Mytilus edulis: one gene and its partners. The protein of the gene in region 1 purifies or fractionates together with the protein of each later gene. This does not show direct contact. Links are inferred from orthologs where the notes say so. Each region holds a gene or a part of one and is shown in the gene's direction. Other genes may lie near its edges.

The links.
Region 2: the proteins of SIN3-HDAC complex-associated factor-like (region 1) and sin3 histone deacetylase corepressor complex component SDS3-like purify together in Homo sapiens (affinity purification with mass spectrometry; 3 studies listed by BioGRID and IntAct, counting the BioPlex papers as one, with this or other methods). This does not show direct contact. The link is inferred for Mytilus edulis from reciprocal best matches to the Homo sapiens genes SINHCAF and SUDS3.
Region 3: the proteins of SIN3-HDAC complex-associated factor-like (region 1) and histone deacetylase complex subunit SAP130-like purify together in Homo sapiens (affinity purification with mass spectrometry; 3 studies listed by BioGRID and IntAct, counting the BioPlex papers as one, with this or other methods). This does not show direct contact. The link is inferred for Mytilus edulis from reciprocal best matches to the Homo sapiens genes SINHCAF and SAP130.

The regions. Positions count from the first base shown.
Region 1 is NC_092353.1:70,783,570-70,791,329, reverse strand, and holds the start of SIN3-HDAC complex-associated factor-like, read left to right. Parts: upstream 1-4,757; 5' UTR 4,758-4,876; intron 4,877-5,232; exon of another isoform or gene 5,233-5,321; intron 5,322-5,880; 5' UTR 5,881-5,913; coding exon 5,914-6,141; intron 6,142-7,760. Other genes in the region: serine/threonine-protein phosphatase 6 regulatory subunit 3-like, read right to left, coding at 377-456, 1,496-1,555. UniProt on the Homo sapiens protein: Subunit of the Sin3 deacetylase complex (Sin3/HDAC), this subunit is important for the repression of genes encoding components of the TGF-beta signaling pathway.
Region 2 is NC_092349.1:14,510,779-14,517,883, forward strand, and holds the start of sin3 histone deacetylase corepressor complex component SDS3-like, read left to right. Parts: upstream 1-4,093; 5' UTR 4,094-4,105; coding exon 4,106-4,205; intron 4,206-7,105. Other genes in the region: derlin-2-like, read right to left, coding at 660-749.
Region 3 is NC_092346.1:104,014,686-104,022,491, forward strand, and holds the start of histone deacetylase complex subunit SAP130-like, read left to right. Parts: upstream 1-4,794; 5' UTR 4,795-4,992; intron 4,993-7,806. UniProt on the Homo sapiens protein: Acts as a transcriptional repressor. May function in the assembly and/or enzymatic activity of the mSin3A corepressor complex or in mediating interactions between the complex and other regulatory complexes.

The DNA.
Region 1 (7,760 bases):
TTCAGCTGATCTGTACCCCCTTAAGAGTGATAATTTTAAAACATTTTCAAACTTAAATTGCATTACATCAACATGCAAATTCAGAGAGTCCATGCAATGGGCTGTTCCATGAACAACAACATTTGATGGAAATACACTTATAAATCTGAACTTTGGTCGGCTGTCAAAGGAGAAACAGTCCTAATGAAATACTGATCAATTATCAAATTATTATAAAACATGCAATCTTAAATGTTAAGTCAGCTGGAATACAAGTCCCCTAGATAATTTATGTATATTGTTATTTGGAAAAGCTGAAATCTTTTTTGTAAATATTCTTGTACACTGTTTTGCAAGTACTTTACTATTCATCATGAACTATTGTTACAACACTTACAAATCAATAAGCTTTTTATTCTGTGCCTTGCATTCCTGTAGTATATCATTTTCATCCATTAATTCTTGAAGGGTGACATCCTGTAAAATAAACCATCATTCTCCTGACTTCAAATATCGAAATCAAACAGTCAAAACACACCTACACTAGTGTATACAAAGGGGTATGTAAATAAAAGTTGCATATTGGTAGAGTACAAACAAGAATGTGTCCATAGTACACAGATGCCCCACTCTCACTATCATTTTCTCTGTTTAGTGAACCGTGAAATTGGGGCAAAAAATCTAATTTGGCATTTAAATTAGAAAGATCATATCATAGGGAACATGTTCACTAAGTTTTAAGTTGATTGGACTTCAACTTCATCAAAAACTACCATGACCAAAAACTTTAACCTGAAGCAGGACATACGGAGGGACAAACAAACAAATTGACTAACAGACCCACAGACCAGAAAACATATTAAATGCCCCTCTACTATCGTAGGTTGGGGTATAAAAATAAAGAATCAATGATGTACAGTGGAGTCCCCAGTGTCTACGTGGCCGGTGATATGCAAATAAAATCTTTCTATAAATTAATTGCTTTAGTATTCCGAATGGACAGAAAAGATTAAAATTGATCATTTCAAGAGTAAATTTTAAATTACCATCCAATGATTAATCACATTTAGCCAATTTCCATTGCCAAATTATATTTTCAGATAAAGTTGGTTTCATTAAAGTCAAAATTAAATCAAATAGATCTAAATTTTGCTCTGCATTCTTGGCATTCTGTTTGGTTCAAATTCAACTACATTTCGTACTTTAAAATCTTTCCTTAATTCAAATAACCCATTTTCATAAGACTATTAATGCAAGCGAAAAATCACCAGAAGAACTCTAAAAACAGTGGTTTCCCTAATTTTGGACACACATTACACAAGAGCTTAAGGGTGAAACCATACATGCAGAAAATTTTATGAAATAAGTTAGTGATGAATTTGTTCACATAATATTATATTATCTTATTATTAGTTTTATCATTAAATAAAGTGAAGTCATAAGACTTTATGTGCGCGGATACACAGAACTGCACCATAATGTTTTCTAAAAATTTACAATATTGATTGAGACTTACCTCCTTTCCAAGCAAGGTATCAATCTTTGAAGTTGTGATAAGATTAAACTTCCAAAACATCTTGTTATCTGGAAAAGAAAGATTCAGTTAAGATTCTGATATGTTATATAGTTATGGCTGATACAACTACAAGCTATAATTCAAAGTTCAAAATTAACAAGAATGTGTCCAAAGTACATGGATGCCCAACTCACACTATCAATTTCCATGTTCAGTGGACCGTGAAATTGAGGTCAAAAGTCTAATTTGGCTTTTAAATAAGGCCATATCATAAGCAACAAGTGTACTAAGTTTCAAGTTGATTGGACTTCAGCTTCAACAAAAACTACCTTGACCAAAACTTTAACCTGAAACAGGACAGACGAACGAACAGACGAACAGAAGGATGCACAGACAAACAGACGGTCACAGACCAGAAAACATAATGCCCCTCTACTATAGTAGGTGGGGCATAAAAATAAAAAATAAAGGAACTTTATAACTTCAGTAGTCATATCTCCTTATTTTTATATGTCAGTAACATACCCACAAATGTGTTTATCATCAGATGGAGAACGAATTGTGGACAGATGGCTACTTATGAAATTTTTCTGGATTGATATAAATTTGATTTGATTTTTTGGTGTTTTAACTCCACTTATAAGCACCGTATTTAGGCTATTTTGTGGCAGCCAGTTTTTATATTTTTTTTAAAAATAATCGTTATATGCTTTAGCTTATAGAAAGTGCCATATTTTTTTTTAATTTATAGGATTCTGGCCTGTAGATTCAAGTTCATCATGAAGACTAAATAGCACCAAGGTGCATGTTTCACACCACTCCGCCATGAAAATCACTTTAAATGGTTTAAAAATAATAATTTCTGAGTACTAAAACTTTAATCAGAAAACAAAGGCCAAATGATTTGAAAAACTACCAAACATTGATATATCAAAACACAATGACTCTTTTTGTCTATATGAACCAGTCTATCAATTGGACCAGCTGAAAAGTGAAATGTATTATAATAAAAATGATTTCATTTTGGCAATTAGAACTGAAACGTCATACAGTTTAAGGGACTTGTAAGTACATCTAGGTTGTTCAAATACTGTCTTTACCACTGACATACAACATCACAGGCGATCTATATCATCTACATTGCACAATGACCCATCAGCACATCATACCTGTCAACCTCTGGAAATGAAAAGTCAGGTCATGACCTGCATTGAGAAAAAAAATCTCAGGTCATAACGCGTACGACATTTTGCGGGCTCAATTGAAGAACAAAAATATGTTTATATATAATTATATAGTCAATATGTATATGAAACAGTTAGAACATGTATACAAGTTTATTTCAGACTATTGTTATATTCCATAGTAGCAGACTTGGCATTCTTTAAAAGAACTGCACTTGGTTTCAGTTCATAGCAATGCAAATATGTATTCATTTTACAAGAAAGAAGAGCACACAGTGTATCCTTATTAAGATCAGCCCTAAACTCTGTAGCTATTTTCTTTACTAAAGAAAATGCCCTCTCACTGTCTGCATTGCTGTTTGGCAAAACCAGTAATGTTTTAGCAAGTTTTGACAAAACAAAAAATCTTGGCTTGTTTTCAACTACCACTTTGTTATTTTCAACTGAAAGGGCCCTCTTTACTATTTGGGTGGTTTTAGTTTTTCAACAGGAATAACCTGAAGCTATTTCACTGTCAGAGAACATTAATTTACACGGTACGTAGCTCAGGTAAACAGTCCTACATTTTGACTTTTGGTTACATTGAAAAAGACCGATAAAACCGAAGGTCGTATTACTTCTAAATACCGGAAACAATTCCGGTCAGAAATCCGGGTGAAACGGGTAATGTTAGAAATTCCCGGGACCCGCCGGGTAAAGAAAAACTCCCGGGTGAGAGGTGAAAATAACGGGTGTCACCCGCAAAAAACGGGTGAGTTGACAGGTATGGCACATTGCCTATAACATTGTTCAAGTTTGATTTCTGTAAGCGGTTATTAATAAATTTGAATTTCTGTATTAAAAATGAAAAATTTATGTTTCATCTACTTGGTAAAAATAAAAATTGTCAAAGAAAGTGAGTATGGTGACCAACAGGGCGATTTCGTTTTCGATGGTAGGGCACAACAAAGTGATGAACACAAAAGCTATATTGTCCCCCCAGTTGCCTGCTAGCGTAAGCCCTAGGTACATCATTACATTACTGCTATTTGTCCGCCATAACTGGATATCACACAGGTTCCCGTAAAAATTTTGACCGTCATAAAAACAAAATAAGTGACGCCACAATGGAAAAGAGATTGTTGTTGACGTCAAAAGTTCAAGCAGCTGACCTGGGATTAGCAATAAGGTGTATACACCTTATCGCTATTTGTCCGCCATTACTGGATATTACACAGGTTCCCGTAAAAATTTGACATCACAAAACAAAATATCTGACGCCACAATGGAAAAGTGATTGTTGAATGCGTCAAAAGTTCAAGCAGCCGGGTCAGCCGGGATTAGCGATAAGGTGTATAGGCTATAGCCATGTTTTCACATTCCAAACATTCAAAACCATGTTTTGCCCTCAAAATATTTTGACTAGATTCTGCAGACAGCTTGAAATAAAACATGCTATTTTGCACAGATTTCAGTATTTGTGTCTTATTATCACGACAGGACATAATTGAAGGCATTGTATACCCACAGTGGTCACAGACTCATGACACTGCTAAAACCTATGGGAATTGAAAGTACTGTACGCAAACACGCTCGACAGTGAAATTAGCAATATTTACGTGGACTTAGCATGAAGTAAGAGTGTTAGCTATATAACGATAAAGCATAAATTTGTTTATTAACCTTTGGAGAAGACTGTGGTTTATTTTATCAAATGTAAACACGGAGAAACTTCTTCAATATCAAATGTACTCCACGGGTTTCTTGGTTCATTTCCAATTTTTCATGTTGAGGGATTCATGACATCAAATGCAATTAGTTAAATATGATTCTATGGGTTGGGTTTTGCAATAATTAATAGTCAGATCATTGAATAACCAATAAATATATGATATTTATCATGTCAGGCGGGAACGAGTACTTCTCAAAATGGCGACGCTGAATATCCCATAATCAATTTTCTGCGTTCTCACGAGAAATTTGTATGATTTTTATTTTTTATTCTATTACCACAAAATGAAATTTTATTAATAATTAAATAGCAAAATTATACTTTAAATGATTTAGTTTTTTTATTATCAAGCACCTGCGCTGTTGTCATAATAAATTTGAATACGCATGCGCGTTCATTGATGTTCCACTTCAGGCGATCATCTGAAAAATCTGTAGTTTACAAACGGACAGAAAAAGTCTTTCAGCTCTGAAAAAAATTATTCCGGTAAGAATTTTTGAGTTAAACTTTGTTTAATAGACATTTATTTATAATTTTCGTTGAAAATTGTGAGCTGTTACATTCTCTATTTTTCAAAAAACGTTATTACATGACCAATGGCATATCACTTGTTACCGGTGTGTAAGGAGCGGTTTCTCAATTTTTACATTTTTTAAGAAAAAACTAACTGTGACAGTTGTCAAATTTGAAAGTTTATGATTTGTTTTATATTAAGGATTAATTTTAAGATTTAATTTTTATTTCCTGTTTTGAAATTAAAGATTTTTGGTGAAAAACTGTGCACATGTATGTACACGATGAACTTGATCTGGGCGATCTGGGCCTGCGCCAATCATAAATTCCTTTGTTCCAAAATAGGAAAACGCTGTGAAGCGTAACCTTGTCCAAACGGTCATTGACACAATTACCCAGAGCGGCCTATTGATTGGTGGTATGTCGATTTATCATATATGTAGAAAGCGGACGTTCACCATAATCAGAATAACCATTGATTAGGCAAAAGAAAATATGTTATAAAATAGGAATTGAAGGAATTTATTGATTTGTGAGAATGACATTTATATTGATAAAACACTAATAGTAAATTTAAGTACAAAGGGGTTAAGTGGAGTGAACTATTATATAATAAAAGGACTTTTTAATTTATGTTCATCAGTATAGGACAAGGATTTGTATAACATTATCAAGAAATTACTATACAAATCCTTGTTAAAGATTTTTTTTTTTTAATCACAATCAGTAAATAATATAATTTGTAACATATACATACATTTATAAGAATAGTTGAGATAAATTAAAACGTAAGTTTATTTTTGAATTACAGAGGGCTGTATTTTATATGTTTGGGATACATTTGGTGATTTTAAAGATATATTACACTTATCAAGTTATGTGAACTGTCAGGCTGAATAGTACAGTTTGTCTGATTACTGTGGCAATCATAACATCCTTATTTTTATATTTATTAATGAAAGTTATGTTTTTTTCAGATTTAAAAATAACGAATACATATACAAGGAAAGATGTTCAGTTTTCATAAACCCAAGATTTATAGGAGCAATAACGGCTGTTGTATATGCCGAGCAAAATCATCAAGTTCTCGCTTTACTGACAGCAAGCGATATGAATGTGACTTTGAAAATTGCTTTAGAATTAAAGAAAGACGTGCTGGTGAAATATGTAATGCATGTGTACTTTTGGTGAAAAGGTGGAAAAAGCTCCCCTCTGGAACTAACAGACATTGGCATCATGTAAGTTTATATTTTTGACTTTTAATTAGATAAAACAAATTGATTTTAGAGAGATTAAAATTAGGGCAGTATCTGCAAGCTATTGATTTTTCAAAAAAATAGTTTATATCAGAATAGTGATTATTTTAATATTGGATAGCTAATTTTTGCGCTGTGTAAATATTTGTCATAGTTTAAATTCCATAGATTACACACAGGGACTGATCAATGTGTGTGTCAGAAGTAGGTCATGTTACCTGACATAGTATGTACTCTCAAGACAGGTCTTAATACATATGTATTGACCTTCAGTATCTCAATGATTGATCTTGTGGTGTACCAGAAAAGATGGGTTATCCAAAAATAGATATTTTATAAAATTTATAAAGTAAAGAAAAAAATGTTAAAAAAACCAAGGTACAAGATATATTTGAAATAAAGTTACCTGGGGCAGTGATTGAATAATTAATTTGAAAAAAAATACCATATTATTAAGTTGTGAAATGTGTGTAATTTTTCAAAAGGGGGATCAGATATAATTGTTTTCATAGTGTTAGATAATATCTGAAACCAATTATCATCAATTTTCTGATGACATATATCAGATATTTGTAAGATGGGGACATTTTCCTTTATAACTACTGACAATATTTGTGTTATTTATTACCCTCTAGAGGGTATAAAGATTCCTCAAAAAACATGTTGACATGCAGTGAATGTTAGCTATAGAAGTTAGACAGGCTCATCCTGTTAATCAACTCTGTGTAATCAATGTCATAAAATGAAATCTGATTATGTTAATAGGTCAAGTCTGTGTTACTTCCTTATATGTAATGAGGCTGTAACTAAAATTTGAGCTAGACGGATTTAATTTCTAATATAAATAAAAAATATATACAATGTTTGTTTAATTGATACCTAGACTTATTTGGAACTAATACATACATAATTATTTATTGCCAGCATTGGTCCAAGTTCTTATGTAATATTACATTATTAAGCATTCCTATAGAAAGGTCATATATAAATAATTACACAAGTTAAATTGAAATTAGTTTTACTTGTAATATTTCTTTCTTGGGGCTTACAAAAAAAAAACTTACAATTGAGGAACCATTAAAGTTAAATGACAATATTTCTCTGTTCCCCTATCAGGTTTATTAGAGAAATAAACACTTGCTTTCCCACCATAATATTGAACTTTGTATGAAGGCTAAACAAGCACCTGCCTGTTTAAGTGTAGTGTCCTTATAAAATATGTGCATTTTAATCTGAGTTTTAAAGTATTAAACTAGGTCATTGACTGCTTTAAACCGTCTACTGCACTCTGAAAATTTAAAGAATAGGAGGTTGACTATATTATCAAATATCTTTCTATGAGAAACTGTGTGTAATCCAAGGTCTATATATTTTTTTTGTTCATGTAATAGTTAGCTCATTTTTAGACAACATTATGTTTTTTTAGTGTTTTTGAAAAAAAAACCTGTTTAAAATCAATAAAGAACTCAACTAGATTCAGACAGACTCATTTTCTCAAACTGTCATGGCTTTTGTCACATATATAGTATGAAAACTCATCTGAAGCATGTATACAATATTTTGATAATTTGAATTACTATTTTCATTTATATGTTGTTTTA
Region 2 (7,105 bases), on another chromosome or scaffold:
GGTCGATGGGTCTCAGACAAAGTCATAATGATGACAGGAATCTTTATCAGGACCAAAGTGGTAAGACAGTGCAATGGTGGTCCATTATCCAACACCTATGATACAGACCAGTAGAAGTCAGTCAGCATAATATGTCCCCTGTAATGTGTGTTAAGGACAAAATGCTAATGCGATATTTATGCAAAACAACAAGTTTAAGATCATACTGTTCAGCATTGAATTGGTGTCTATCATCAATCAATAAACCCTGGAGTAAACCAACATCGTGGATAGCAGTAGTCCAAATAATTATGATGTAATGGAAGGCTATTTCAAATTTTTGCTTTGACGCTTTCCTGTGACAATGTACATGTAAGGCATCAAGAAAAAAAAAAAAATAGCCTTTAAAGACGTTGTAATTATTTGAACTAGGATAGCAGGTAAAGAGGAGCTGACCCAGTTCTGCTGTTCAGTTGTAATGACTGAGGTGCAACTGAATGCTGAATTGATAGCGATGTGGATCGACCTGATAGCTGTACATATACATGATTATGATTTGACATACAATCCAGCCTTTTTTTTTTTATCAGAGATACAAAATTTTGTAAGTGGCTGTGTTACAGTCCTACATTATATTGCTTGTATTTAACATTTATTTAAAACTGAAATAAGAATAATACCACTGCTATCGTTGTGATAACACATGCTGTAGTGTAAGCCCGAGTAACGGGCGGCATTTGCATGTATTCTTGCTGAAATGTTTGTGCCATGGCTGTGTAGTGCAATGTTTACACCGGATGTTGAAGAATCCACGTAGAATAAGATAAAAGTAAAAAGTAAAAGATATCAACACAAATTTTAAAATATTCCTCTTGTAATTTCTTCCGAAACTATATCATTTTTGTTTTCTATTTAGTTAAGTATACAAATTTTATATCTGATTCGTTGATTTTACGATAGGATCTTTTTTCAAAAAATAAAATTGTTATCTGCAGATTTTACTTACACCGGAAGTGAAATAAATGGTACGCACTGAAACCCGGACCGGACCGGACTCCGGACCCGGACTTTGGTATGAAACCCGGACCCGGACCCGGACTGGCCACCGGACCCGGACTGAATGCCGGACCCGGACTGTGGGTTTTTTACCACTTTGATTTTTTTTAAGATTACTGTCATATAAATTATTAGTTACAGTATATAAAAATTAAAAAAAAAATCCACATTCCGAGCGCAAAATTGAACAAAAAAGAGTAAAGTAAAGTAAGGAAGAAATATATAATAATTCCTTTGTCGTTATTGTTTTATTGAAATTAATAAAATCTTTTTTATTATCAATGAAAGCAAATTAAATTCTTTTCATAGGAAGAGTAAAGCGCAATAGTTTGATACATTCGAGGGTTATATTTTTTTTGTATTGTTTTCTTCTTCTAGACATTAAGGGAAAAATAGAATTCCTGCTTTTCTAAAACATTGTTTTGGCAGTCTTAATTAATCACTTTTAATATTAGTTTCCTCTTATGAGAACACCAATTACGCGTTGTTATGTCACTGTGTAATGAAAGTCTCGTGTTTTATTGGGTGTTTGACATTTGCGCCGATTTTTAAAAGTTTCGATCTTTCATTTGCGCCGATTGTGCACAGGTTAATTGCAGGTGAATGTCACATTGATTCTATTCATCAATATAAACCTCTTTCGTTACCCAATTGTACATATGTTATGAATTGTCAACTAGTATCATTAAGAATTCCTATGATCTCTTATTGTAATTCCGAATTCTTATGATATCTTATTGTTCCTCCGAACTCTTATGATATCTTATTGTTTCTCAGAATTCTTATGACTTTTTATTGTTCTTCCGAATTCTTATGCCTTTTGATTTTTCCTCCGAATTCTTATGATCTCTTGTTGTTCCTCAGAAGCCTTATGACTTTTTATTGTTCCTCCGAGTTATTTTAATCTCTATTAAGACTTATATGGTTTCTCCGAATTCTGTTTCTCTAAATTCTTCTCTAATACTGTTCCTCAGATTGAATTATTGACAAAGGTTTACACTCGCTTTAGGATATTGGTTTAATTGAAAGAAAAAGGAAAAAGAAGACACAATTAACCAGGAATTACTTACAAAATACATTAAGGCTATTGGTAATTCAGTGTTTAAATAACCAAAGTAAAAACTATGATGGATTGCTTTTTTGTACTAGCTGTGATCAGTAACTGCGAGTATTCTCATATCTGTAGTTGGTGTCGTACGGTCACCTATAGTTGTAAATGTCTGTGTCATTTGGTCTTCTTTGTCAGCTGTCTCATTGGCAATCACATCACATCACATCATTCTTATTATTATATCAACATTGCAAATAACGCGTCACTTGTCGATAACATGGTATTTATAAATAAAATAATAAAAAAAAAGATTTACTTTCTTATTTGATTGTCATCACAAAGTCTATTAAAATAATTCAACAATCCAATGTTTCACGATAAAGGTGTCAAAGACTACACTATCAATCATAATCAAGCATGTATAGAAGTCAGATTTAAAGGGGCATTAGCTCCGAGATTTAATGAAATGATAAATAAAAATGTTCAATATAGTGAAATAATTTTATTTTAGCAGCCATTGTCAAAATAAACTAATATACATCGCTTATGAATTATTCACTCGTAATCTCCGTATCAATAGTATTCCTTTGGTAAGAAATACAGAAATAATCTTGTGTTACACGTTAACCGGGATATTTTTTACCCCAAGATGGTACTCTGAATAAAATCTTCTGCGGCTCCTGATTGGATGATACAAAGTTGGAATTGCTCCAATAAAATTTAAGCAGCGATCGATCATCCATGTAATACACATTCTTGAACAGGTGAGTCCGGACTGTGACCTGACATGACCCCGGACTAGCTTGAAGTTTACTATACCTGCGTGTATTGCATTACGACGACTAACTGTATGTAAACTGTTTATTGTCGTAAAGTATATTGACGGGACATTTGATCAAGCATGTAATACATAAGAAATTTATAAGATATTTATCCGACATTTAACGAATAATATAAATGTAATAGGCGAGTCCGGATGGTGACCTGAAGTAACCCCGGACTAGGTGTATTCGCAAACTGTAGACATCGATAGAGATATAAAAACTTCACAAATGATTTGATGAGACGAACTTATTCATTTTTATTCATTCAACTTTTTCCTTATTGGATTGTCGTCGGAAACATTAATAAAAGACGTGTACCCGAGAATCAACAAATTAAAATTAGACGAGTCCGGACTCTGATCTGATATAACCACGGACCAGGAGTGTACGGATTGTATATAAATATACTAAATTATTTGTTTAATTGAAAGATTTTTTCCCCCTTTTTACTTTTTACTTTTCCTTTATTCATTTCTCTATTTCTTTAGTTATTCGATTGTCATCGGAAAAATCAATAAACGACACTTAAGCGGCGTTCAACAATGTAATACACATTCTTGAACAGGTGAGTCCGGACTGTGACCTGACATGACCCCGGACTAGCTTGAAGTTTACTATTCCTGCGTGTATTGCATTACGACGACTAACTGTGTGTAAACTGTTTATTGTCGTAAAGTATATTGACGGGACATTTGATCAAGCATGTAATACATAAGAAATTTATAAGATATTTATCCGACATTTAACGAAAAATATAAATGTAATAGGCGAGTCCGGATGGTGACCTGAAGTAAACCCGGACTAGATGTATTCGCAAACTATAGACATCGATAGAGATATAAAAACTTCACAAATGATTTGATGAGACGAACTTATTCATTTTTTTTCATTCAACTTTTTCCTTATTGGATTGTCGTCGGAAACATTAATAAAAGACGTGTACCCGAGAATCCACAAATTTGATTATCTTATTATTATAATGTACTGTGTTACAGTTCTCAAAAAATTATCTTCCTTCTCCTGATTAAAAAAAGAAAAAGGTGATTCTAAGAAAATTCAGAATTATTACCCAGTCCGGGTCCGGCATTTAGTCCGGGTCCGGCGTCCGGTCCGGGTCCGGGTTTCATACCAAAGTCCGGGTCCGGAGTCCGGTCCGGTCCGGGTTTCAGTACGTACCGAAATAAATCAACAAACCATGGCCTCGTACGCTTCTTCACGGGACGAAAACAATTCAGATTTTGAAGAGGTTGACAGCTTTGACTGTGATGAACTGGATGCACAAGCAACTGACGAAGGTAAATATTCAATCTGCTTAATATTTTATTATTCTTTGTGTGGATGCAAAAGATGTTTAGTTTTAAAAATTTTAGTGCTTCATATATATGTTTTGGTATTTTGCAAGATACATGTATTATCTATTTGCTTAGAGTTAATTTTTGGTGCTGCTTCTTATTATTTATTGCATGCTGCATGTCTTGTTTTATTTGTTATTGCATATGTTTTTATATTCGGTGAAAAGCTCATTAGAGCTTATGTTTGTATTGTTTGTCAATATGCCGAATCCAAATAAAGTTTTACTTACTTACTTACTTACTCAACCCTGCACCTGACAAAGGTACTTTTATAAGCATTGTGGCTTTGTGCTGTTATAGTTTATGCTGTGACTTTTATCTCGTTATTGCAATGCATTTTAGAAGTCATATACCAACTAAACTCAGTGGCAATATTAGTTTTCTTTTTGGTTTGCATTCTACAGTTCTAGACCTTCCTATGGATAGAAACAAGTGCCTGTGGTTTCGGCCATGAATCACTTAGGTATATATGTAATTCAAGGAATTGTGTTAAAATATTTAATAATTTAGGTCACCCTTATAATAAGAAGATAAGTGTATTATATTTTAAGCTCCGACAGCATCAATCGTTGATTAGATGGTCACACAGTGTTCTCCCCAGGATTTTTGGATAGCGCTGTGGTAAGCGCGTAATTTTCGACAATTCTCAGTAACTTTATTGCGGCGTGCGTTTTGTTTGTAATTGATTTGATGTGTTTTTATTATATTATGCTATTGATGTTTTCTCTTGTAATGATGTCCTCATCATGCTCATGATAGTTACAAAATGTACAATGTACCCCTTTGTTTGTTAATGTTTTTGTCTGGATACACATGATATAGAAGAAGAGTCTTTTTTTCCTCCATAGTAAATTCATATATTAAATCCTCATACTATCAGTGTATAAAACTGAAGGATAAGTCTTTTTCCATGATGGGTCTACACCAGACTACCGTGACTACCTATGTGAAGATTTCTTAGCACTAACAGGTAATGTTGCAGAACATGTAGGACCAACAATAAAGTCAATGTCAGCTTCTGTTTGGTTTTGTAACCCACTGTAGCAGTGTACAGTTTACCTTACGACGTTTGACAGGAATTGACATTTTTTTAGCATAAAGATTTCTCATTTGTCTGACCTTAAAGTTTTATAATATTTAAATGGCCTCATCCAAGCTGAACATTGAGAAAGTGAAATTTCTCAAGTCGTATCAGCTTGGGGTTTGTTTTTCTAATCATATCCTCTCAATTGTTTTCAAATGGTAGAATTTCTGACTAAACAATTATAAGTTTGAATAGGTGATAATTAATACTTCAAAGACTTGCTCATTTTCGGGGTTCGTATGGATAGTAAACCCGGCAAATAATTTGTAACAAACCCCGGTGTTTGATCGTTTTTAAAATCATCGTTTGTTCAAAGTTCGTAAAACAAGTTTGTGAGTGTCGTCGGGAAATGCGATCAATTCATTTCATCTCATTTCATTCATATATGCCTCTATCATGTGTCTATATATTCTTTTAATTGAAAACATAGATGTCAATGTCGAAATCTTTGTTTATTTTGATCTTTCAAAGATGCCATTTTTATTAGACTGGTCCCGCGGAGTTACTTTAATACAACAGAAATAATTCATTCAAAAATCGTAAACCAGTCAATCACGTGATCCGAAGAGTAAAATAAGCGGGAAATTTGAAAAAATGCGAAAAAAAATATAGCGAGGCGGTTGAGTGGGATAGCGCTGCGGTAAGTGCAATAGGACAGCGGGAAATTTAAATAGCGCTGAAAATCGCAGCGCTAAAACGGCCTGGGGAGAACACTGTCACAAATTAAGTTTACTGGCGACACATTAGCGGAGACAGTAAACAGGTAAACGGGTATTTTCGACCATCAAATCACCAATTGATGCTGTCAGAAATTAAAATGCAATATTGTTATCTCCATTTTAATAAAACTGACATAAAAAACGTTAAAACATGTATTTAAAATCTGTTATATTGCATGTATATCGTCTGCACATGCGTGTATGTTCCATAGCATCAATTGTCAATTGATCATTTTGATGCCATGAAAATAAGTTACGTTATCCAATCTAAATGGACTTTACATGGGTTGTTGCATTAGATTTTGAATTTCATTCACTTCGGTATACATCTCAGGTCAGGTCATTCATTACCTGGTATAGGTTGGCACCTACTCAAATTGGGACTTGGTTAATTCAGGATTAAGGCTGGCACCAGAGGTAGTTATTAAGGCACCTATGTCTACATGGTCTATCATTAACATTATGTTTTGTTAGTCAACTTTTGAAGTCTCCACTATTTGTATATTCTTGGTTTAATATTTTCACAAATTAATCAACATATATTTGGTAGGAATCATAGAAGTTCCAACAAAAACTTTGTTCTAAACAATGTGTACAGTAATTCCTACTTTATTTCAACTGCACATAACATGCATAAGTCATTGCTAGTAAACATGTTGCTAGCTGTCATTATACAGAAACGACAGTGGTTAAGCAGAAAAAACAATTTAAATAACAATGATTTGTTTTCATCCTTATCTGTGGATTAAAAAAAAACTTGTATAATGACTTCTTAGTTTTTTTTTTATTATAAACATCAAAAACTACCTGTGGGTTACATTAAATACAAGTTTATAATTAATATAAAAATAACTAATGCCACTGAAATTAACAACTATAGGTCCAGTCTGCATGGTTAGCCACTAGTCTGATGCCCCATACTAGTAAAATTTTATTCAGACTAGTAAGTTTTTGCAAAACTTTGTTTGGACTAATAAGAAAAATGTCAAAATATTGGTCTTCGGACTAGTAGTTGAAAAAGTTTTGGTGCAGACTGTAGG
Region 3 (7,806 bases), on another chromosome or scaffold:
ACCAAATCGCCTGCACTGTAGCCGTCCCGCTAGGCTATCGGGGCTTCACAATAATAAAGCTTTTGGTGGCCGTGTGTTACCTTGCCTCGTCAGTTTTAATCTAGTGTCGTACTACAGTACATGATATATAAGGCATGGAGATGTTATTGTTACATATCAGCTCAATTATCTATAGTAAAGGATCCTACAAATTAATGTAAGATACAGTCACAGAAAATAATTATATTTATAAGTACGTCTGAGTCTTTACAAATAAAACTGACTAAAATTGTTGACTTGCTGGTGACACAGGTACAGATTATGATCATGCATGCTGCAATATACAACAAATAGTCTGCTGCAGATATAAAAAAAAACAACAACACAGTTCTGCGCATTATTTCAGTGGTATTAGTAAAGTCGGCAAAAAGGGAAGTTGTCATTATTTACTTTGTTGATGCAGAGACATACATGGTAACCGAGATTATATCAATATTTCTTTACAGCCAATTACATTGAGTGTGTAGACAAAGGTAATATATTTGGTTAGCTTGTTTGCTAGCTGAACCGTGAAGTTATTATTAAGTTCGGTAAACTTCCCTCCTTTAAGAGTAGACTAGTCCGACAGATAACCAATCTATCTGTCTGTAGGACTAGGCTACTTCGAAAGAAGGGTAGTATACTTAACTTATAATGACTACGGTTCAGCTAGAAAGCAAGCTAACACCAAAGATATCACCTTTGCCTACACACTCAATGTAATAGGCTGTAATTTTAAACTGATACTACTATAACAGATACTATAAGTCTAGTATAATAGTCTCAGTACTAAATAATTGGCTTCTTGTGTCTTTATTAGTCGTTAACCATATTGCATTGAGTGGATAAACAAATACAATATTTTTACGCGATTTAGACCAGGTGTTATCTAGTTGTCCACTAGAATTATGTTTACACTGCGGCAAAATACAGTAGAAAATAGTCTTTTATCAGGGCATAATCTGGCATCTACCAGATTCTTGGTGAAATTACTCTAAATTTGTAGTTTAAAATTTTCCTCTGTTCAAAATAACTGCATGGTGATATTGAGATATATTCAAAAACTCTTTATATATCTGAATATTTTGCGGATTAATACTTTAATTATCATTTCGTCGTAACGAGTTGGGGGAAGGAATAAAAGACCTAAGAAACTAATGGATTAATTTTGTTACTTTGCATGTAGGTCTACAACTTGGTGAATGCTAAGTCCAAGCCTATGTTGGTCACCGTACGATCTTCAATAATGAACAACACCCACCCCGTTAAGTCAGCTATAAAAGACATTGACATGACAAAATACGGCAACGATATTGGAAAGAGATGATCAACGACTTATTTGTTACAAAACAATACAAACCAAACCAAACTAATATGACATCGACAGCAACCAACGGCAACCACTGAACTACAGGCTCACTGAGACCAAGAACAGGCTCATTTAGAATGTGGGCGAGGTTAGACATGTTTGTGAGAGCTCAAGCCTCTCATAAACCAGTACATTGGTGTAACAACATAAGAGCAACGCGTAAACATCAGTTGGGAATGTGTTGTATTTGATTCATTAGATTGTTGAGAATAAAATTCAGAATAAAAATGGGTAATGTGTCATGAAGACACCAATTACCCGACCAAAGAGCAGCCGACGGCCACCAATGGATCTTCAAAGCAGGGAGAAACTCCCGCCACCGGAGGCGTTTTTTGCACAAAACAGTGGCCGATCCAGAGGGGGGGTTCCGGGGGTCCGCACCCCCCTTTATTTTGGCCGATCAATGCATTTGAATCGGGACATATGTTTGCACCCCCCCTGCACCCCCCCTTTGCCCTGGGCTAGCACCCCCCCCCCCCCTTTCGAAAATTCCTGCATCCGCCACTGCAAAACATAATGATAAAAGTACTGTGTGTACTCACGAATACTGAAAGTAAATACATGTCCAAATACAACTTATATGTATAAACACATTTTGTCCCAAATAAAAAGACGTCATGCATAATCTGAAAACAGCATGACTTTATGTAACGGCAAAATGTTAAAAGGCCAAATATAAGTAAGTATAATAATATATATTTTATTGAAAGGATCAAGGAATTGTATATTTAAATATAATAATTCTTGACAGATATGTTATGTTTAATTTACTAAAAAGTTAAAAAAAAAAAAAAAAAAAACAACACCAAATATAAAATATAACAGATGAAAGTCAAACAATATAAAAAAGAAGATGTGGTATGATTACCAATGAGACAACTGTCCACAAGAGACCAAACTGACATATAGACATTAACAAATATAGGTCACCGTACGGCCTTCAACAATGAGCAAAGCCCATACCGCATAGTCAGCTATAAAAGGCCCCGATAAGACAATGTAAAACAATTCAAACGAGAAAACTAACGGCCTTATTTATATCAAAAAATGAACGAAAAACAAATATGTAACACATAAACAAACGACAACCACTGAATTACAGGCTCCTGACTTGGGACAGGCATATACATAAATAATGTGGCGGGGTTAAACATGTTAGCGGGATCCCAACCCTCCCTCTAACCTGGGACAGTGGTATAACAGTACAACATAAGAACGAACTATAAAAATCAGTTGAAAAAGGCTTAACTCATCAGATGGACAAAAATACAAGTGGACGTGGCCGGGTACTTATACATCCCGACACAAAAAGACACAATGAACAAATCTGAGAGTACTCACAGTTATCTGACAGCTAGTTCAAAGCCACTAACAACTAATTAAAAAATTATGCATCTAAGACTAAACTATCAATCCGTACACATCCAACATCCAATGGATTTAGTGTAAAGACGTCATAAACAGCCAGAGAAAAACACGACCTTGTGCAATACCAAGATACAGGTGTCAACAGATTGTAGATCCATGAATATGTCTATGTATATAACATACTAGTAATATTTAGTTAGCTTTTAATTTACTGATAACAAAGTCAATATTTAATACCGAATTATTTATACCAATAAAAACAATATTCAATGATCTTATTACAGTGTTCAATAGGTAACCTTTTAGAATAAGTTTATTTAAAGGAGCGACAAGTTTACATGGGTCATTTCTAAATTTCCGGGCACGGTTAACAACATTTTCGTAAAAATGAGGATGTGCTATCCCGTAGGAAACAAGTTTTCTACAAGTACAACCAAATACGTTGTTAAAAATCACAATCTTTAAAAAAAAAACCAAGTTTATTCAAATTAAGTATTAATGAGTTTGTGTGAGTCGTATCCAAAAGTGTTGGCTCTATGAGCAACAATACCATTAACAATAAGATGTGATATCCTATATGTGGTAAGAATTCTTAATGTACATTCAATCTTCCAAAACGAAATCTTCATATATATAATATAAAAGTATTTGTGGTAACGAAATCCCTGAATTACTCGTAACTGATTTACGACGGTTATATCAAAAGCTGTCATATTCGGAGTCCTGACTAAGTACAGAGTGAGACAAAAGTAAAACACTATGGTCTTCATTTCACGATTCGTGGATTGTGATTCAGTTTACGAAAATGTTCAAATCTCAGTATTTTCAAATTGTCGTAACCATGCACAATGTCGTAACCATGCACAATGTCGTAACCATGCACAATGTCGTAACCATGCACAATGTCGTAACCATGCACAATGTCGTAACCATGCACAATGTCGTCCCCTTTTCTCAAATGTGATCGAATGAAGTAGAATTATTTCTGGGTTTGTACTTACACTATAGCAACACGACGGGTGCCACGTGCATGTGAAGTAGGATCTACTTACCATCCCAGTGCACCTGATTTTTGTGTTGCTTATTCTTTTAGTTGTATATGTTGTGAATGTAGAAAATTGTTTGCCTTTCAGTATTTTTTATTGTATAGTTCATGACATCGGCAGTTCGTTTTCAACTTATTAGTTTGACTATCCCTTTGATATCTATTACCTCTCGGTAACTGTAAGAGGGACAGAGCTATCTCAACTTTTGTAATTATACATTTCGTAGAGATTACCTTTCAATAACTGTAAGAGGGACATAGCTTTCTCAACTTTTGCAATTATACATTTCGTAGAAAATGTCAACAGCAAGACAATCAAAGCACAATAATTTAAACATGACATAAAAAATTGCATCTTTGACTGAGATAAACTTTTAAAGGCAACATTTGCAGGGAATATTTGAATTGAAGTGAGAATTGAGAATTGAATTGAATTGAATTGAATTGAATTGAATTGAATTGAATTGAATTGATTTGAATTAGATTAGATTAAATTAAATTAAATTAAATTAAATTGCAATTTGAATTGAATTGAATTTTGAATTTCACTATTTTGTTTCAAGATGTAATTGCTACTTTTTAGCAATGAGCTACAATACTTTGTCAATATGATTGAATTTGAGGTAACTGTCATGCAAGTGAGAGGTTTAGCTAGCTATAAAACCAGGTTCAATCCACAATTTTCTACATAGAAAATTGCCTGTACCAAGTCAGAAATGTGACAGTTGTTATCGACTTGTTTGATGTCACGGTTTGGGCTTTTAATTTTGCCAATTGATTAGAGACTTTCCGTTTTGAATTTTCCTCGGAGTTCAGTATTTTTGTGTTATTACTTTTTATTACTTCCCTTGTACTATATCGAACTACTGCATTACATAGTTATTTTTAGCGTATTTTAAATCACGTGATTGAGGCGTACTCTTTGGAATAGACTATAACTTAGAGCATTCCGGAAGCGCATTTAGATCATATGGAGTCGATCAACCAATCAGATAGCTGCTTACAAAACATTTTGAGCAGCAGTTGACCTGAGAATATTGAGGCAAATACGACTCCAAATTTGACGATATTTTCATTAATTAGAAGTATATTCAAAACGTGTTCATATTGAACACTTTTGAAGACTGGGATTGCTTTATTTACAGTGTGCTAGATAGGAATTTGTGATTATCAACCACAGGTATAGACATAGGTAGGATATTTTTTTTTATGTGAGATTTCTTTCACTTACACAGAATAACATAAATTATCTGATTTATACTTGAAATATTTACTGACATACTGTTAATGAGGTGTATTCCAGAATGACTACTATGATTAGGGCAAATGCAATATAGTTTATGGCGTTTGATGAAAACGTTGTTGTGGTCGGTATTTAAATGGGGGACAATCTCAAAATGCAGAATGTTGAAGCTATTGCAAATCTCTTGTCTAACATGCTGAGTCCACAGACTTAATAATAGAATCTTGTCAATTCAGTGCTGCCTACTAGAGCAGTAAACATTTATGCCTGCCAGTCTTTCGGTCTATTCTGCCACATTATGATGTGAGCCTGAGACTACTATAACACATGTGTTATAGTAGTCTCAGTGTGAGCGCATGAAATATTTTTGAAATTTAATCAACAAAAGAATGGGTGCAATTTAATGTATATACAGGAGCAATCAAAAACATGTTATTCAAATTTAATGAGGGAGCTGAGACTTGAAAGATTCAGGACTCTGGGCGCAGACACTAGAGTTTGGCAAGGTGTTCCACTTTATGATTGTTCTAGGATAGAACAACTCCTTATGTACAGTTGTTTTACTTGATGGTATTCTAGGTGCCTTTTCGTTGTTATTTCTGGAAGCTACAGAATGTTGCACTAGCAGAATTATGAATTTTGTGTACATTGAATCATATGGTGTATGGGTTAGTTTTATGAAACATCAGTGTAAACATGGATCAAAACAATGATTAAAAATCTACATGTATTATAAGTTCAAATTTAAAACATGTAGTCCATTCAAACTAAGATTTAACCTCAAACTAATTGCAACAGAACATGTTTTAGTTCTAATCTATAGCATTATGCCCTTTATATACACAGAAAAAAGTCCCATAAAATCTAACTTGAGGAAAACTCAAAATCAGCATTTTTAAATTCCTATGGAAATTAGCATTGGGAGGGGAGATAACTCCACAAAAATGAGTCCTTTCAGTCTGCACCAAAAACTTTTGAGGGTACTGGACTAGTAGTAATTATTTTAATTTACTAGTCCTGAATAACTTCCACTAGTCTGACACCGGTGAGGGTCGCGAAGCGACCCAAACCAGCTAGGGGGGTGGGGGCATGCTCCCCATTCAAATTTTGAAATCTTAGATGCAAAATCCTGCATTTTTAGCATACCTAAAAGGGTTTAAGCTGGTTGGAAAAATTTGTCTTTAGCTAATTTTAAGGATTTTTCATTTACAAAAAATTATTAAACAAGGTAAACTTCTGACACTACTTATTTTTAGTCATGTGCACTGTCCATAAATGATAATAAAAACAATGTCAGAGTTTCCAATTAATTTATAGTTGTTTTATTCCTCATAGCCTTTTAATAATTGCTTCAGTTTTAACTTAGAAGTCCCTTTAGCAAAATTGGTTATGTTATTTTCTTTGCAGTACGTGCAAAACGTTAAAAATTCAGTTCAATTCAAAGTTTTATTGCCATATAAACATTACAGTTTGCGACATATGTTATGGGTAGTTTTATTTTATTGTGCATTTTTCATTAAAGAAATTGCAAATGTGAAGCTTTGTGACCATTTTGAAAAGATAATGTGAAAATTTGGTATTGTTTATCAGGGCTCACACTACTTCAGAATTATAGGGAGAAGTGACTTCTCTTTTTGAAACTGATAGGGAGAAGTGGTGAGATTTGAAAGAGAAGTGCTCATTCGCACGGTGCGATACAATGTTTGGATTTTACAATAGTATAAAGGGCCATATGTAAATAATGGTTCAATTCATATCTGAGTAAAAAAATTACAATTAAAGTAACATTTGAAATTAAAAGTTGTTTAAGTTTTACTAAGGTTCTTGTGAGAAACTACAAACTAAATATCTAGCACTAAAAAAAAAAAAATTATTTTAAAAAATGTAAAGAAATTATAATATATCAATTACAATTTAATTAAAAATTATCTTGTGTATGACATTCAGTGTTTCTCATAAAAAAAATATAAAATTTATTAAGCTGGGCCAGAATATATTGATATTAGTAATGAGTATAATAGTCTCAGAGTTAAGCAACTTTAATCAATAGTTTGAAACAATCCATAAAAAATATAGGGAATTATATACACCAATCAATTAGATGTTACCAAAAGTCTCTTAATGCGTGTGGAATGCGTAATTTTCCCCTTTGGGATCAATATTCTTCTGTCAGCTGTTCCATCCGTGCGTCCGTAGTAATTATTGTTAAAGTTCGGATTTCGGTCATAGCTGGTCCGGTTCAGATCCAGAGTTTAGAAATCGGTCAATGGCGGACGAATGCAAGAAAATTGACAAAAATAAACGATGTTTGACAAGTTATTTGGAAAGGAACATGACGTTTTTAATGCAATAAATGGATTAAAAATTTACTGGAGGCCACTTTTATCACGTTTAAATGAAGTAACAAACTTATGTTGCCGCCGAATTTGAGGTTGATGTACGTTTTCGAGTAACAAGCACCGGAACTTGCAGAAATGCACGAAGTGATAAAAAGTTGTATTTTTATCAAATAACCTGCTACACATTACGAAGACAATGCTTCAACCTCTTTTCTAAAGATAATGAATCGTTTATGTCTGAATTTCTTTAATTATCAATAAAAAATTGATGTTTCATCAACTTGGTAAAAATTGAAAATGTCCGATGACGGAAGCGACTGAAAGCGACTATCGTCAAGAACAGGGGGACTTGTTTTCGCTTTTGGGGGTCGGGGAAAGCGAAGTGACGGTCGGGAAGGCGACTTCTTCGCCCAAGTCGCCTGGT